Pelodiscus sinensis: one gene and its partner. The protein of the gene in region 2 binds, or shares a complex with, the protein of the main gene of each other region. Links are inferred from orthologs where the notes say so. Each region holds a gene or a part of one and is shown on either strand. Other genes may lie near its edges.

The links.
Region 1: the proteins of CSF1R (region 2) and CSF1 are in contact, whole or in part, in a crystal structure (PDB 3EJJ), measured with the Mus musculus proteins. The link is inferred for Pelodiscus sinensis from reciprocal best matches to the Homo sapiens genes CSF1R and CSF1. Residues at the interface, in NP_001032948.2 of Mus musculus: Arg142, Arg146, Leu149, Arg150, Lys151, Lys168, Val169, Leu170, Ser172, Asn173, Val231, Gly232, Phe233, Leu248, Ser250, Asp251, Phe252, Asp254, Asn255, Tyr257, Lys259; in NP_001107002.1 of Mus musculus: His38, His41, Met42, Gly44, Asn45, Gly46, His47, Phe87, Gln90, Asp91, Asp94, Arg98, Asp101, Glu110, Arg111, Gln113, Glu114, Leu115, Asn117.

What each region holds. Positions count from the first base shown.
Region 1 is NW_027465886.1:221,173-228,856, forward strand, and holds the start of CSF1 (macrophage colony-stimulating factor 1), read right to left. Parts: upstream 3,204-7,684; 5' UTR 3,109-3,203; coding exon 2,899-3,108; intron 347-2,898; coding exon 218-346; intron 1-217. UniProt on the Homo sapiens protein: Cytokine that plays an essential role in the regulation of survival, proliferation and differentiation of hematopoietic precursor cells, especially mononuclear phagocytes, such as macrophages and monocytes.
Region 2 is NC_134727.1:34,930,324-34,938,333, forward strand, and holds the start of CSF1R (macrophage colony-stimulating factor 1 receptor), read right to left. Parts: upstream 3,079-8,010; 5' UTR 2,927-3,078; coding exon 2,878-2,926; intron 1-2,877. UniProt on the Homo sapiens protein: Tyrosine-protein kinase that acts as a cell-surface receptor for CSF1 and IL34 and plays an essential role in the regulation of survival, proliferation and differentiation of hematopoietic precursor cells, especially mononuclear phagocytes, such as macrophages and monocytes.

The DNA of each region.
Region 1 (7,684 bases), on a different chromosome or scaffold from region 2:
GGGCTTCACACCGGGCCAGGCTGGCCCAGCAGAGTCACTCTCCTCTGGCTTGGCCACCCAGCTCAGCCAGGCATGGGGCTTGTCCATTGTGAACACTGGTCTCCCCTGGACGGTCCATGCACTCACCTAGCATGGGCACCTGGCTAGCAGCAGGCCCCAGCCTCACACCCTGATGTTCCACATCCCATCCCAGCAGCAGGCTGGGTGTGACACTTACCAACTCCTGCAGCTTATCCAGGTGCTTTTGGGTGATGATATTCTCACAGTAGCCTTTCTGCTCAGTTTCATGGATGCTGCAGGTGGCGAGGAGGAGGAAAGTCAGCAGGGTGCAGGAGACTGGGCATGCCTGAGGAAGGGAGAAGCTGTCAGCCGAGAAGCCATGTCCCTGGGCTCCCCGCTGCCCCAATGGCTAGCAGCCTCCAGGGCGGGCTCCAGGAGTGATCCCCTGCCTTCCTCTGCCAACAGCCTTTGGTGTGGACCTTTGGGCCAGTCCCTGCCCCATAGCAAGGCAGAGATAGCTAGGAGAGGTGGCAGGCAAGCACAGAGTGGCACTCCCCAGGACAGATACAAGCTGCACTGGGTTGCTGAAACAGGAGCTCAGGGCACAAATCCTTTCCAGTGTGCACCCAGGCATTCCCACTGCAGTCTGGGAACACATCTCCCCCTCCCCTGCTGCCCTTTCCCTCTCCCACTGCCTGGCCTGCTATTATTAGAAAGGTAAGTGGTCAGCTGAGCAGACCCTGCTGGGAATTCCCCAGCCTGGCTCTCTGAGGGCCACACAAGCTGCTGATGGACACAAGTGTGCACAAGCTGCTTTGGGCTGCTGCCAACCGAGAGTGCACCAGGCACAGTTTTGTCCTGTCTTCACCACTCCAACACTTCTCCCTTCATTGCCTTCCTGCTCCCTCCATTGCTCCTTGCAGTCTGGGGTCTCTCCCTTCCCACTCCAACTTCTCTTCTGCTCCCTCCTCTTGTCTCCTCCATCACTCCCTTCCCACTGCCCCTTTGACTCTCACCCTGCCCTATGGTCCCCTTCCCCGCCTTGTCTCTGGGGAAGACTCTTCAGTCCCTGACACCCTTGAATTCATCCAGCACAGAGCCAGCTGCAAATGTGTCCTCCCTTTCCAAGACCCCTCCCTGGCCCTCCGTGCAGCTGCACCCCAGCCTTCAGCTTCCTTTTGCACCTCCTTTCACAAAGCCCCATCATGGAGCCATATCCCTCTGTATAAGCTGGGGCTCGGCTTTAACTCCACAAATTCCTTTTCACATAATGCAGTTACCTTGTGGCAATGAGTTCCACAGGCTCTCCATGAGGCCAGAATCCTAGCAGGATTCCAAAAGGGATTGAACATTTATGTGGAAAATGAGAACACTCAGAATCACAAAGGTAAATGCTAAAAAAATAGTCAAGTGGCTGGGAAGGAATATAAACCTGCCTGCTTCATACCCTGCTACCCTCTAGCTGGAGTCCGGGGGGGGGGGGGGGAGTTAACCCACGATTACATGGGAAACTCAGGGCAGCCCCAGGGTGGCTCCTTTGAAATGGGGTAGAAATGGATGGGGAAATTAGATGAGTGGAAAATAGATTAAATGGCTAATTACAAGGTACCAATAAATAATAAAATAATACAAGTATAATAAATAGCTGGTTTATGGAGATAGATTAGATTAGATTAGAATAGATAGATGAATCTTAGTACACAGACCCATCATCTGAACTAAGACCTAGGTAGACAGATCAGTATACTAAGATAACTATCCTCCTGGATCCTGGTATCCCAATTAATCAATCAAACTAGATCAATATCTGAAGATCTAGGAAGAAAGTTAGCTAGCTAGTGTACTGATCAATCTATCTATCTATCTTGCTAACTCTCTTACTAGATCTTATCTATATTTATCCAGCTAACTACTTACCCACCCTCCTAGACCTTAATACACTGATCTAGTCAGTTAGCTTGACCAGAATATTAAGACCTAGGAGAACAGATAGATGTTATCTATAGGGATAGATCAATAGCTAGATGGATAGATAGGGGGACTGACAAACTAACCTCATTAGCTACCGATCTACCCTCCTAGATCTTAGCATATTGGTCTATCTGGATCCTTTGATGAAGCAGTGTCCTGGGACAGCTGATTAGCTGGACTTGGTTCCCTGCTCTGCGCTCTGCTCCAACAGGCGAGGGGATCCCCTGCAAACTTCCGACGGGAAGGGGCCAACCACGGCTCGCCGGGCTCTCTCCAAACCAACCCAAAGCTCCTTGCCATGCCCCCGCCTGGAGCCGCTCTCTTGGCTCAGTCCCTGGCTACGCGGTGCAAAACAAGGCCGAGAGGAACGTCGGTCTCCACCTCTCTTGCAGTCCCTGTGCTGTCAACACTTTTGGCAAGAAAGCGCCTGCCGGCCAGACCTGACACGCAGCCAGTTGCCTCCATCCAAAGGCAGAGCCCAGCCGAGGGGAGCAAGCAAGGGGCAGAAAGAAGGAGTGTCCGGCGCAGGCAGAGAGCTGCTCACTTTGCTCCTTCGCTCTCACTCCAGCCCTAAACAACCACGCTGGGGCCAAGCCTTCCAGCCCGGGAAGCACCCAACGGGCTCAGCCCCGACACACGCCGGGAGCGGACTCCCAAGGGAGTTAGGGGTCCCCATCCCTGGCAGACCGGAGCCAGGCGCCCCACGCTCTTCGCGCATCCCAGCTGCGCTAGGGCGCTCGGCAAAGGGCAGGAGGCGCCGCGGGACAGGCGCGCAGCAGCGAAGGGTGCGGCGCGGTGGGGGGAAGCAGCAGCGCAGGCAACTAGAGAGCGCAGAAAAGCCAGACGCGTCCCCCGCCTCGGGCCATCTGTCCTGCTGCAGCCTGGAGTTCTCAGCGCGCGCCCTGCGCGGTCCTTGCGCGCCCCTACCTTGGGGCCGAGCCGGCGCATGGGGACAGCCGTCCGCGGAGCTGGCACCTCCTGGGAGCGGGGCCGGGGGGCGGCGGCGGCGGCGGCGCGGAGCTGTGCAGTCATCGCGGGCTGCCGGGAGGAAGTTTCGCTGCGGCTCCGCGCACGGAGGAGGAGGTGGCTCTGTCCTGCCTGCTCTCCTGGGCTCGCCCTTATACTGCCTCGGAGCATGTGGTTTATGGGAAATCACCTTGGCCACCCGCCAGCGCCGGCCCTTTGTTTCCGCTGGAGGAGAGGGGGAAGGCGAAAGGAGCATCTGGTGCTGCCTTCACCTTTCTCGGGCATCCCCGGCCCCCGCACCCCGCGCCCAGCCTGGGGCTGTCCCGCATGGGCTAGCAGCAGTGTCCTGCCGGTCCCAGCCTCCGCCAGCAGCGGGCAGGACTCCTTCCCCTGCTGCGTCTGAAGTGCCTGGGCCAGGCTGCTACAGCAGGGGCGGGCAATACGTTTTGAGGGGAGCACTTTTCTAGGGAGAGGGTGGGGAGTCTGGGACGGATGGTGGGTGCAGAAGAGAGCTCGGGCAGGGAACTGGGTGCAGGAGAGGGCCTGGGCTCTGAGAGGGAGTTAGGCAAAGGAGGGGGGTTCACAAGGCACAAAGCTCCCCCCTCCCCCGACACAGAGAGGCAGATGGAGCAGACAGCCGCACTGAGCCCTGGGGCTGCTCCTTGCCTTTGGCACCAGTGGGACGGGCCGCGGTCCAGATCTGACCCCGGGCCGCGTCTTGCCCACCCCTGTGCTAGAAAGTGTCCCAGCAGCGCCAGGCGCAAGGGGTGGCTGCCTAGTGATGCTGTGACCAGGCAGATCAGAAACTGCTCGCTGCTGCAGTGCCCCGATTTCTCAGAGGAAGGGGGTGGTGTGGAGAGGCACAGACACTGCTGGCCCCAATGTTCCTCCATGCCCCCTTCCCCTGCTGTGTTGGGAGACTGTCATCAGAAGCTGCTGCTCTCCTGCCAGGCAGCTCCTAGGCAGGCCCAGCAGAACAGTGGGGTAGTGGTGGGACCTATGTATGCCAGGTGGGTGCTTGTGTTAAGCCTGCTCTGCGCTGAGAAAGGTTTGCCCTTACAGCCAGACAGGTGAAGCCTTTCAGTTCACATGTAGCTTGTACCAGCAAGCAAGTGCTTTCCCAGGAAGGTTTACACTGCTTCCCCGCATGAAATAAGCTCTTCAGTAGAGCCCCAGTTACAGACTCCTCGGGAATGATGGCTGCTTGGAACTGTGAACCATATGGGTTTGCTTTCAAAAGTTTACAAGTGAGTGTTGACTCACTGCAGCTTTCGATCTTTAATGTGCAGAAACAAATGCTGCTTTTCCTTTATTTTTTAAAAGAGTTTGTGTTTAACACAGCACTGTGCTGTATTTGTTTTCTTTTGCGGGTTTGTTTTGGTTTGTTTTTCCAGTCTCTGCTGTTGCCTGATTGCTTACTTCCGCTGCCAAATGAGATGTATCGTGAACTGGTCTGTTTGCAACTCTGGTGTTCATAACTCTGAGGTTCTGTTGGACTGCAGGAAGCACATTTACACTGTTTCAGCTGTGTCTACACTACACTGATGGTCTGTATCAAATATTAAAACATCACCCCAGCAAAAGTTTGAAGTGTAGCCCTCTTCCTAGGGTGCTTTGACACACTGCAAACAATAAAAATGTGCAGCCGAGAACCACAGCACTCAGGTAACTTAATGCAGACTCAGACTACAGGGCTAAAAAACAGCAGGTTCTGAGACCACCTATGCCAGGGCTACTCAACTTTGGAAACCCCGGGAGCCAGGATGATACTCTCAGCACTTGCCGAAGGTCACAACTTAAGTGTGGTTGCATGTACATGCAAATATGTATGCAAATATATGCAAATAGCTTCTTTCACACAGATGGGCATGAATACAAAGAGCACACAACACGCAGGCCCCATTTAAGTCATTCTGCTGATATTCATAAAATGCAACATTTACACTATTTCCACCCATATGACAGCACTTTTAATGAGTAATGACAGTGCAGGAATTGAACAACTAAACACAGCTCAACAAAAGGCCATTATATTGACTTCCCAGCAGAAGCCATGTTCAAAGGATCCCACCTGCTGGCGGCGTGTTGAGTAACCCTGACCTACACCTTGCCATGTTTCAGAGAGTGGGCAGGGATCACCCTGAGCAGGAAAATCTGCACTGTTATCAGTAGCCCCATAGCCTGTGATAGTTGACTCAGGCTCTGAGACTCCTTGCTGGAGTTCGGGTTTTTTTGCCATGTAGATGTATCCTCAGGACAGATCTACACTATGCCAGAAGTTCGACTTGAGATGCACAACTCCAACAATGAGAATTGTGTAGCTGGAGTTGAAATACCTTACATTTCTGGGGCAGCCCTGTTGCAGGTTGATGGGAGAAACTCTCCCATCAACATCCCTTATTCCCCATGACTCCGAGGAGTACTGGGATCAACAGGGGCACCCCCAACATTCAATCTAGTGGGTCCTTATTAGACTTGCTAAGTAGAAGCCTGAAAGTATAGAAAAGGCCTCAGTGAGCATGTGTTCGTTTCAGTCAAAAAATAATGCACTGGCACGAGTGTGAATCGGAATGTGTCTGTGTGAGATGTGTGCATATGAGTACGTGTGTGTGTGTGTGTCTGTGACGGCATGTTGGGGATCCCCCCGATCCTGCACCCTCGTAGCAGCAAGATGAGACTGCCAGCCAGTAGAATAGTGAGCGTTTATTGCTTCTCCAGGATACTGCACAACATAGATGTGATGTGGTTACAAGAGTCAGGGCCAGGCAGCCTCAGACCCCCTGGGGTAGGGGTCCACTGCCCCTCTCAACTCCCAGTACTCAGCTTAGTCCCTTCTCTCCATGTTTTTCCAGACAAGACTGACTAGCTCCCAGGCTCTGCCCCCCAGCCAGGTGGCCGTCTCCGCCTCCCCTCCTTTGTCTCTCCCCCTGGGAAGAGCCTTGTTATCTGCTCAGGCTGGGACTAGGTGTCTGGACCAATCCTCATTTGGGTGAGTCAGTGGGAATCACACATCACAGTGTGGAGGAACCTCTGGTTACAGAGCAGACAGCCCCCCACTATGTCACATCTCTCCCCCCTCCGAGAGCGAACTGAGTATTACTCTGCTTATGACCTGGGGAAGTTCGGGCCTCCTGCCAGGTAAAGCCGCAGCAGTGATATTGGACCTTCCCTTGGCTTGGGCCGGCCACGGCAGTGCCCTGCGGGAGCCGGCTCCCCCCCATTTGGCTGCTGCACAGCTTTGAGGGGGCCGGCGCGGGCCCACTCTTTGTGGTCGGACCAGCCCTTCCACTTCTCTTGGACTCTGCCCATGGTCTCTCTGGCCGGGCCCATGTCCTCAGCGAGCCTTTCCCAGAAAGCCAGGACATCCTCCACACATCACAGCATGGGGGAACCCCGGGTTACAGAGCAGACAGCACCTCCACTATGTCACAGCGTGCGCACACACAGTGGGCATGGAAATGATCATGTCTGCAGTGTGGGGCTGGGAGTGCATGTGTCCCGATTGGCATGTGTGTAGGAAATGTGTGGAACTGTGAGCATGTATCTATGACAAAATGCATAAAGAGCACATAAACCTATGGCTATTGTTCTCAAGCAAAGGACCAGCTGAGCAGCAGAGGAACATTGTCACTTGCCAGAGCCAATCTGGTTTAACACATAGGTGGTTTTAAGAAAAATAGAAACCACCTCCCTTCATTGGTTTTTTAAAAGCTTGTTGGAAACAGCTGTTTGTAAGGAAGCAAATCTTGTCACTGACTTGTAGCACAGTCACAAATATCAGAAGTGAAATGGGCCATAAAAATGAAACTGACTTTATTAGTTAACTTTCTGAAGTGTAGATTGGCAGAGGTCCTGGAGGTTTTTCACCTTCCTCTGTAGCATGGGGCACAGATCACAGCTGGAGGAGTCTCTGTATCTTGGGGTCTTCAAAGTATTTGAAGGCTTCAATATCTGAGATATAGGTGAGAAGATTATTCCAGGAGTGGGTGGGTGGGTGGGTGAGATTCTGTGGCCTTCACTGTGTAGGGGGTCAGACTAGATGATCATACTGGTCCCTTCTGACCTTGAAGTCTATATAGGCTACGTCTACACTGGCATGATTTTCCAGAAATGCTTTTAACGGAAAAGTTTTCCGTTAAAAGCATTTTCGGAAAAGAGCATCTAGATTGGCACAGACGCTTTTCCACAAAAGCACTTTTTGCGGAAAAGCATCCGTGTCAATCTAGATGCGCTTTTGCGCAAAGAAGCCCCGATCGCCATTTTAGCCATCGGGACTTTTTTGCCCAAAACAGTCCTGTGCTGTTTACACTGGCCCTCTTGCGCAAATGATTTGCACAAGAGGGATTTTGCCCGAACAGGAGCAGCACAGTATTTCCGCAAGAACACGGACGATCTTACATGAGATTGTCAGTGTTCTTGCAGAAATTCAAGCGGCCAGTGTAGACAGCTGGCAAGTTTTTCCACAAAAGCAGATGATTTTGCGGAAAAACTTGCCAGTCTAGACACAGCCTTATGAGTCTATGAGTCTATAAGTGGTTGAAACTAACAGTACTGTCCCAGATTTCCCATAAACCATATGCTCTGCGAAAGCTGAGGCCAGAGTCAGGAGAGAGCTCTGAAACTGGATCTTGAACATGACAGCAGACTTTATAAAGATCTGAGGAGTAACTTTAACTTGGGTAAATTAACGTGTCTGTTTATAATATCCTCTGGCATACTGATATGATAGTTCATAAGAACAGCCAGA
Region 2 (8,010 bases):
GGCTGAAAACAAAATACAACCTTCTGGAGGCGTATGCAGGGATAATCCGGGTGCATACAAACCTAGGGGTGCTTTGGGATTCGTGGTCCTAGGGGAATTCTGAATGAGTGTGGTAAATGCAGCTGTCAGAAACATCATGGGACAACTCCGGTGGGAAACAACCAGCAATCCTAATGAGATAGTTCCACCGGATGGGGATCTATATTGTGAACATGTCTGTGCTTCAAGTGGGGATCCTGACAGAGTTCACTGGGCTCCAGGCAACCTGATGTTTCCCCAGTAACTGCCTAGTCCACGTTATCCCAAGATCCCACCCTGCCCAGAGTTCCCAGCCATTCCTGTCTCCCCCTGGGACAGTCCCAGCTGCTCATGTAACCTGCACACTGGCTGGGTGTGGTGGTTGACTGTCCCAGGTAGCGGCACTGAGACCACTTCCAGAGAGAGAGAATGAGTTTGCTCTCTACAGCCCTAACTGAGAGCCAGCTGGTTTTTAACTCCGGTCAGAGAGGCTCATGCACTAAGCTCCCGAGCTCCCAGGTTTGGTTGCTCCTGTCGACATGACACTCAGTTCCGTGGAGAAACAGCACAGTTCCTTCAGGCAGTGGGCATAGCAGGGGAAGGGACTCTCCCACAATGTCACCATTGCGTGAAATGCAGAAAACTGTCCGCTGCCAGAGAGCTTCTTTTGCAAATGTCCAATCTGGGCTGGAGAATCCTGCTTGTGTCTCTTGGAGGATTGACGACACAATAACAGGGAACAGGCGGACCGTCCACATCAGAACAGGCGGACTAGACTCTTCTGTATCCCATCCACAGTGCCTGAGTTTGTACTTCCTTTGAAAGGCTTAACAATACTCTTGGCCCATCCCTTATCTGCCAGCATTCCCAATGACTTCAGAAAGAAGGCTGAAGTGGCTTGGGCAGACAGCAGGCAGGGGTCACCAACCAGTCGATTGGGATCGACTGGTAGGTCTTGGAGCCTCTGACAGGTGATCCTGACTGGTTTGGTCAAGAGGTTATCCAGCCCAGCACTTCAGCTGCTCCCCCCCGCCCCTGACTGCTGTGCATCTCCTGCCCTTTGTCTTGGAGCTGACCCCCAGAAACCTCCTGCTTGTTGAGCAGGGCAGGGGAGGGACAGGAGGGTGCTGATGTCAAGGTGCCCCCTCTCCCACCCTGTATCCTATCTCCACAGAGCGGAGAGGGGGCACAGCAGGACTGGTCATGGAGTTTGCTAGCTATTTTTGGGAGTGGTGCTGGGCCAGGACGGGGTAAGCATGCCTTAGCTCCACTGCACCACCACCCAGGAGCCACCTGAGGTCAGCAGGGCCCAGCTGGTGCCCACATCCCAAAACCCTACCCCATGCTGAACCCCAGGTCCTGCCCTAGACCCAAGCAGCCCTGCATCCAAACACCCAGAGCCTGAACCTAGAACCCCTTCCGGCACCCCAACTGCCTGCCCCTAGCTCAGCTTAGAGCCCCTCTTACATGCCAAATCCCTTAAGACACACCCCAGCCCTCTGCCCCAGCCTGGTGAAAGGGAGGGAGGATGAAGTGAGCAGGGGCGGGGCCTTGAAGAAGGGGCGCAAAGGAGGCGGGACAAGAGTATTTGGGTTTGAGGTCGACCGTGGATTGCACTTCAATTTGAAAAGTGAGCCCGTGCTGAAAAAGGTTGGAGACCCCTGCAGTAGGGTATTAAAAACCTAGTATCCCTAGACAAATCTGTGACTGGATCCCACTTGGCACAAGACAGAAAAAAGGACAAAAATGACATAAAAGAACAATGAACAATGAACAAAGAACACTGCTGCTGTGGGAACAGATTATAATGCAGCGAGAAACGTGGTCCTGGAGCGCTGGAGGTGGGAACATCGAATCACTAGGCACGAGAGCGTCTACTCTCACGCAATTTGACACAGCATAGCTCTAGCCGCTGCGTCGGTTACAGCGCGTCTGCAGGAATCCGGGCAGGTTATTCTGCTGGGTGTCCCACTTCCTCGTAGCAGGATCCTGCTTTTTACACAGCCAAGAGCGGGGAACCCTCCCCCCCAAGTCTTGTCCAGATTCATCCAACAACACTTAGCATATCTATGGGCTTTATATGTCCAAAACAACAACACAGGCATTACTAATAGAACAAGCCACAGTTTAACCCTGCTCTGTCCTAGGGCATCTTTAGGCCCCTAACGAGCTTTATTAATCTGGCCTCAGGATACTCAAATTCTCTTGTACCTCCCTGCTAATGCTGGTATGTTGCACTTAGGGCGCAGTCATTTGCTTGTGTCCCTTAGCGCGCCTGCCAGGCAGACCACCCCTTACCGATTCTGTCTGTGCCCTATTAACGCCCCCACAATCGCAGCAGCTGTCCCTTGCAATGGTCTGCAGAATTAAGGACTTTAATGCTCCCCTCCCCCCCCCCCCGCCCCTCTTGGTTTGCAGGAGAGGTGAGCATGAGCTCCGCTCTCCCTTTTGAGAGCTGGGCCATGCGTTCTTTGGGTCCAACCTGGAGCTCCTTGCTGTGTTTTCATTCCCCCCGCCTTCCCCCCCCCAACTCAGGCAGAGTTCCCTGGGCCTGATTTTTCAAGGCGTTCCTGATGTTCGAAGTTTGAGTGCTTTTCTAAATCCCGCTCGGTGCCTAGCTGCCTCTTTCCGTTTCTACACTCCTTTAAAAATCCGGCCGAGTTACTTGAATGGGGGCGTTTGTTCAAGAAGGAATGGCGCCAACACCCAACGAGGAGCGAGGCATTCTTCCTACTCTGCACAATCACGTCTGGGTTGTGCGGTAAGTCCAGCCAACTGGCAAATCTCTCACTAGGCACCCGATACGCCACCGCTTTCCAGCCCACATTGGCTCAAGGGAGTGGGTGCTCTCTGACCTACCATGCCAGATGCCAGCTGCAACCAGAAGCACCAGGATGCCAGGGTCCATCTTGGGCTGAAGGTACCCTCCTGCCCTGGTCAGGTGGGCTGCGATCCAGGGGAAAGGAACAAAGCACTTCAGCGCAATAGATCCTCTTGAGCAGGATGGAGAAGACTGGACTGGAACGTGCTGCTGAGTCGTCTATAACCGTTCCCTGCTGCCGTCTCTGGGACACTTCTCCTTTTCTTTCGGAACTGACCACAAGTTAGGAAATCCCTATTTTTTTTTTAAAGAGAGTTATACAGTGTCACTAATCGTAGAGGACACCCCACTGCTCACCTCCAAAACCTGCCCTTCATCATCGACTTGGGCGTGCCTCCTTGCACCTGTCTTCTGATTTACCATCAGAAAAGCTGCATCACGAAGTGGGGCGTTACAGAAAACATTATTGACTCTAGACACACACGGGGCTAAGCCGCCGGGACAGGCCAACACGCTGCACTAGCCCTATAGTAAGCGGCAAGGCTTGGGGCTGGGCTGTAGAGAGCTTGATTGCATTCCCATTGTGGCAGAAATTAATCCCACGTCACTTCAAAGAGATTGTCAGGGTACATCTGGCACCCACTGCAGGTTGTGCGAAGCATGGGGGCGCCCACTGGGTTACAGCAGCAGAGGAGCTGGGGAGTGCCGTCTAACCCTGAGGGCCTTCATCTGTGACTGCCCAGTGACATCAGAGAATGGAGAAATGTTCCAGCTAATTTTTTCCATCAATGTGCAGAATAAATTTTGCTATATGCACCAAAGTGCCTTTTAGCAGAGCACCCACAGCCAGCAGCGTGCGGTTCTACTGGTGGTGCACATCTGTGCAACATGGGGCAGATGTGCACCACCAATAGAAACACACTGCTGGCTGTGGGTGCTCTGCTAATCAGAGGGACGGCATTTGAATCTCTCCTGGGCGCCCGCCCGAGCTCTCATCTTACAGGGAACATGGCCAGTGGGGTCCAAATCTGGAGTGAACAAAGGCAAAAGCCTCGGGATTCACTTCTCAGAAGCCAGGTTTTTCCTGAGGGCATTATTCCATCCAGGCAGGGATCAGGCCTCCAGTGCATGGGGGGAGAGTTGCTTGTTTGTTTTATATTTGTACGTGTTCCCCATTGGCACCAGCCGCAGGACAATTCAGGGAGCCATGTGCAAAAGAATTACATGCAAGCATTAGCGAAATTGTGGCCACTTCCCACTCTGCTGAGAACATTGTAAACAAGAGCCAAAGGCTGTATGTGCGAAGGCAGCAGTTCCTTGCTGAACCTCGGAGGGAGACTGCTTTGCATGGCTGTATGCAGGCAGCAGACCAGAGACTCGGTGTAAATCACTGTCAGTCTAGTAAAGTCAATGGGACCCATGCAATTTACACCACCAGAGGACATGGCCTGATGCGTAACACACAGTACGACCTACAGCTAGTCCCTGCTGCATTTGCTGCGTTTTTCTTTAGCAGCTTGTAAATGCTAAAAGAAATCCTTGTGCCAGTGCTTCTGCAAAATGTCAGGGGGCCTCAAATGCATGCAAGGAGTGTTGCTGCTTTATTTCCTCCTCCCCGAGGAGATCGGGAAATACAGGAAACTAGGAAAGGTGCCAAACAACTAGCAGTTTTGCAAGGCCACCTTTCCAGGCGACAGGAATGGAAAGCGTGCAAAACTCCTAGTTGTTTGGTACCTTGATCCACCTACCAGGAGAGAGAATTTACCGTAAACCGTGTGGTTCTCCAGCCCCACAACTCCAGCTCTGACCGTATTTCCTGAATAGAAGTCGCCAAAGAAAGGAATTAGTTTTTCCATATAGTTGTGTATGTGCTGAGGTGACCCACTGAAAAATTGCACGGCTGCCAGCGGGTTAACGAGATGAGGAGTAAGGAATATTCATTGTGGACTGTACTGTACTCCACCGGCTGCCAGAACCTGGCAAATGGGGGTCGTACAATGTTGCAGCCAGGCGCCATTGCCACTTGCCTGCTCTGCTCAGGCCAAAGGGTGGGGTGGCTCAGGCGGAGAAGCACTAGACATGAGCTCATCCATTAGTGATTCATTGTTTCTCCATCCGTGCCTCTGCTGCCCAGGAGCTGCAATGGAGATTCCACAGGGGCTGGCAAGGTGGATGGGGCTTCGTTGGGGGCGTGAGCCCAGGACTCTACATTTCAAGGCACGTGGTGAGACATGCCTGGCAGCCGTCGTCACTGCTAGAGGAGATGAAGCACAGACCAGGGCAGTGCCAACTTCACCAATCAGGGTGCCATATTATGGAGATAGACCTATCTCAGAGCTGGAAGGGACCTTGAGAGGTCATCGAGTCCAGTCCCCTGCCCTCACGGCACGACCAAGTACCATCCCTGACAGATTTGCCCCAAATGGCCCCTCTCAAGGATTGAGCTCACAGCCCTGGGTTTAGCAGGCCAATACGCAAACCACGGAGCTATTGAACCCCGATGTTGGATGGGCCCCTGTCGTCTGGGCTCCTGACAGTGACCAGTGCAGGCAAGCAAAGGAAGGTTCAAGAAACTCTTTGGCCTGTCTGGGGAATAAGCTGCCCAAGGGAAAGATGCTTCTGAGCCTGATGTGCCTCGGCCCCGAAGGGGAGGAATCACCCTTGCGAGCGACAGGCGATGTGGCTCAGGCCTTGGCCTCTTTGCTGAGGCCAGAGCTGGTGTGATTATTTGCGGGGCCTAGTTCGAATGGGACGCCGCAGCCTGGGGTACCAGCAGCCCCACACCAGGCCCAGGGCACCGGCAATGCCCATGTGGGGTTGTGGCGGCTGCTCCCATAGCGGCACCAAGAGCTCCCAGCATGGCAGCGTGGGGGAGGGGGTACCTGAGGCACCCTCACCACAAGCACCTGCGGCAGCCGCCTCCTCTTCTCTCAGGGGCCCCACTGGGCTGGAGGGGGGCAGGGTGGAAACCGCCATGTGCAATCCACAGCTTGGAGACGCACCTCAGGTAGCACGCGCCACCCAGGCAGGCAGGGCCTATAATAAAGTGCAGGGGCCGTGTGCGAGGGAACCGGCTGCGCACGCCTCACGCAGGCCCTTGCTGAGGCAGCCAAGAACCAAGTCAATAAAGGCTCACGTTGAGGGTGGTGCCTGATGCGGGAACTTGCCCACTGGGCACATGACCGAGTCCAGCCGTGTGCGGCACTTTGGTCATCATAGAGTGGCCAGTATCTTTTCTCATGACCAAACCGGGCTTGTCAGGGCAGGCTTTGCAGGCCCCACTGAATCTGTTGCCCCCACATGTTTATGGGGGCGACTCCAAAGAGCCCTTTCTCTCTGAGGAGTGCGCCCTGGGCATTATTCATCAATTCCTACTGTTGTTCTGTATTGGCCGAGCTCTCAGCCTCTGGCCTATTTCTGGAAGCAGGCCTCTTCTTACACAGCCAAGCGCCTTCCCAGCCAAGGCCAGTTCAAAGCCAGAAAAGAAAACTGAAACTGCATTAAAGCTCATCTCTAAGTGTGTGAAAATGAACACAGCAGGAAAAGCCTTGCATGCAAATAAATACCAAGGCATGAAACCCAAAGGAAGGCTGGCTTGGCCTTGCCCATTGCTAAGTGTGTGCTAGACGGCATCAAGTGCAAGAACAATTGTGAAGTTACCGGCTCCCTTCCCTTAGGGTGGCCAGATGGCCTGTTTTTAAAGGGACAGTCCGGTATCTAAGTCCTCCTGCAAGTGTCCCTACAATGGGCAAATTGTCCCCGTATTTTCTATCTCCCCTCTGCTATCAGTGCAGGCGGGTCCTACAGCTGGCCAGATCCTTGCTCGCCTGCTGCCCACTCACCAGCAGTGAGTGGGGGGGCGGGAATCCAGTGGGCGGTGGGGGTTGGGCACAGCTGCAGCATATGGGACCAGCTGCTTCCCCTTCTGGTCCACCAGGACAGTCCCTGCTGCTGTGTTTCCTCTTGGCCAGCAGCCCCTCCCACATCCCATTGCCTTGTTTCCAGCCGGAACTAGCAACTTGCTTCAGTGGCTGGTGAGCGGGCTGACCATGGCTGGCCGGTTGCCTCACTGTCCTCTCCCTGCTGGGCCTTTCATCCCCTCAGCCCTACTGCTCCTCCATCTCCCCCCACCCTGCCCCGTGAGGTGCATCCTGGACCCGGTGCTGTGCGAAGAACCAGCCCCTGGTCCGATCATTCATCTCACCAACAGCCTAGCTGGCTGGCTCTGTCCCCCCGCTGCCTTTGGCTGGGACGGAAGCCATGGAGGGACCCTCTGGCCCAGGATGCCGGCCAGGAGGAGCCAAGTCCTCCATGTACCAAAGCCCCACCCAGCACTGGCCTGGGGAATTGTCCCCCTCCCCTGTGCACAATACAGCCTTAGGGCTTAACCCCTTCCTGCCCACGCTGTAGCCAAGGAGCAAGAGGTGGCTGCGTTGAGTCGGTGGCCAGCAGCATCCTGGAGGGGTTAGCTGCTGTTCTACAGGCAGAAAGTAGCTTTTCTACAAGCTGCTTCTAGCCACAGAGGAGTGGGAGGAGCAAGGATAGAGATAACCTCTGCAAAGCCGCGGGCCATGTCATCCCTACCCCGCTGTGGCTGGAAGTGCTTCCCTTCTGCACAGTACCAAGAGGCTGCTGCTGGCCATGTTCTGGGGTGGACCCCTCACAGATCTCTGGGGAGGATGGGCTGTGACCCTGCCGCTTGTTGCCTCGAGACGACATGGTACCAGACGAGATGGGTCCATCTGAAGGTCCCAGGAAGAGAGCACTAGGCAGGGAGGGTTGGGTCAGGTTGGTCGCCCATCTCCATGGGCCAGGTTGGTTGGCCACCCTCATCCTCACGTAAGAGAGGTGTGTGTGTCTGTGAGACCGTTCCCCATGCAAACCTTAGGCCAAGGCTACACAACAGCCAAAGGTCAGCGTAAGGTACACATTTCCAACTGTGTAAAAAACGTAACTGGAGTTGACGTACCTTAAGCCGAGTTTTTGCACCATCCTCACAGTGGGAGGTTGACAGGAGAAATGCTCCTGTTGACTTCCCTTGTCCTCACGAGGAGTAGGAGTTCCAGCATCGACGGTTGCACCCTCAGTGTTTGATTTAGTGGGTCTTTACTAGACCTGCTAAATTGAATGCCAGAAGATTGACTGATGCTATGTCAATCTTCTCCGTAGTC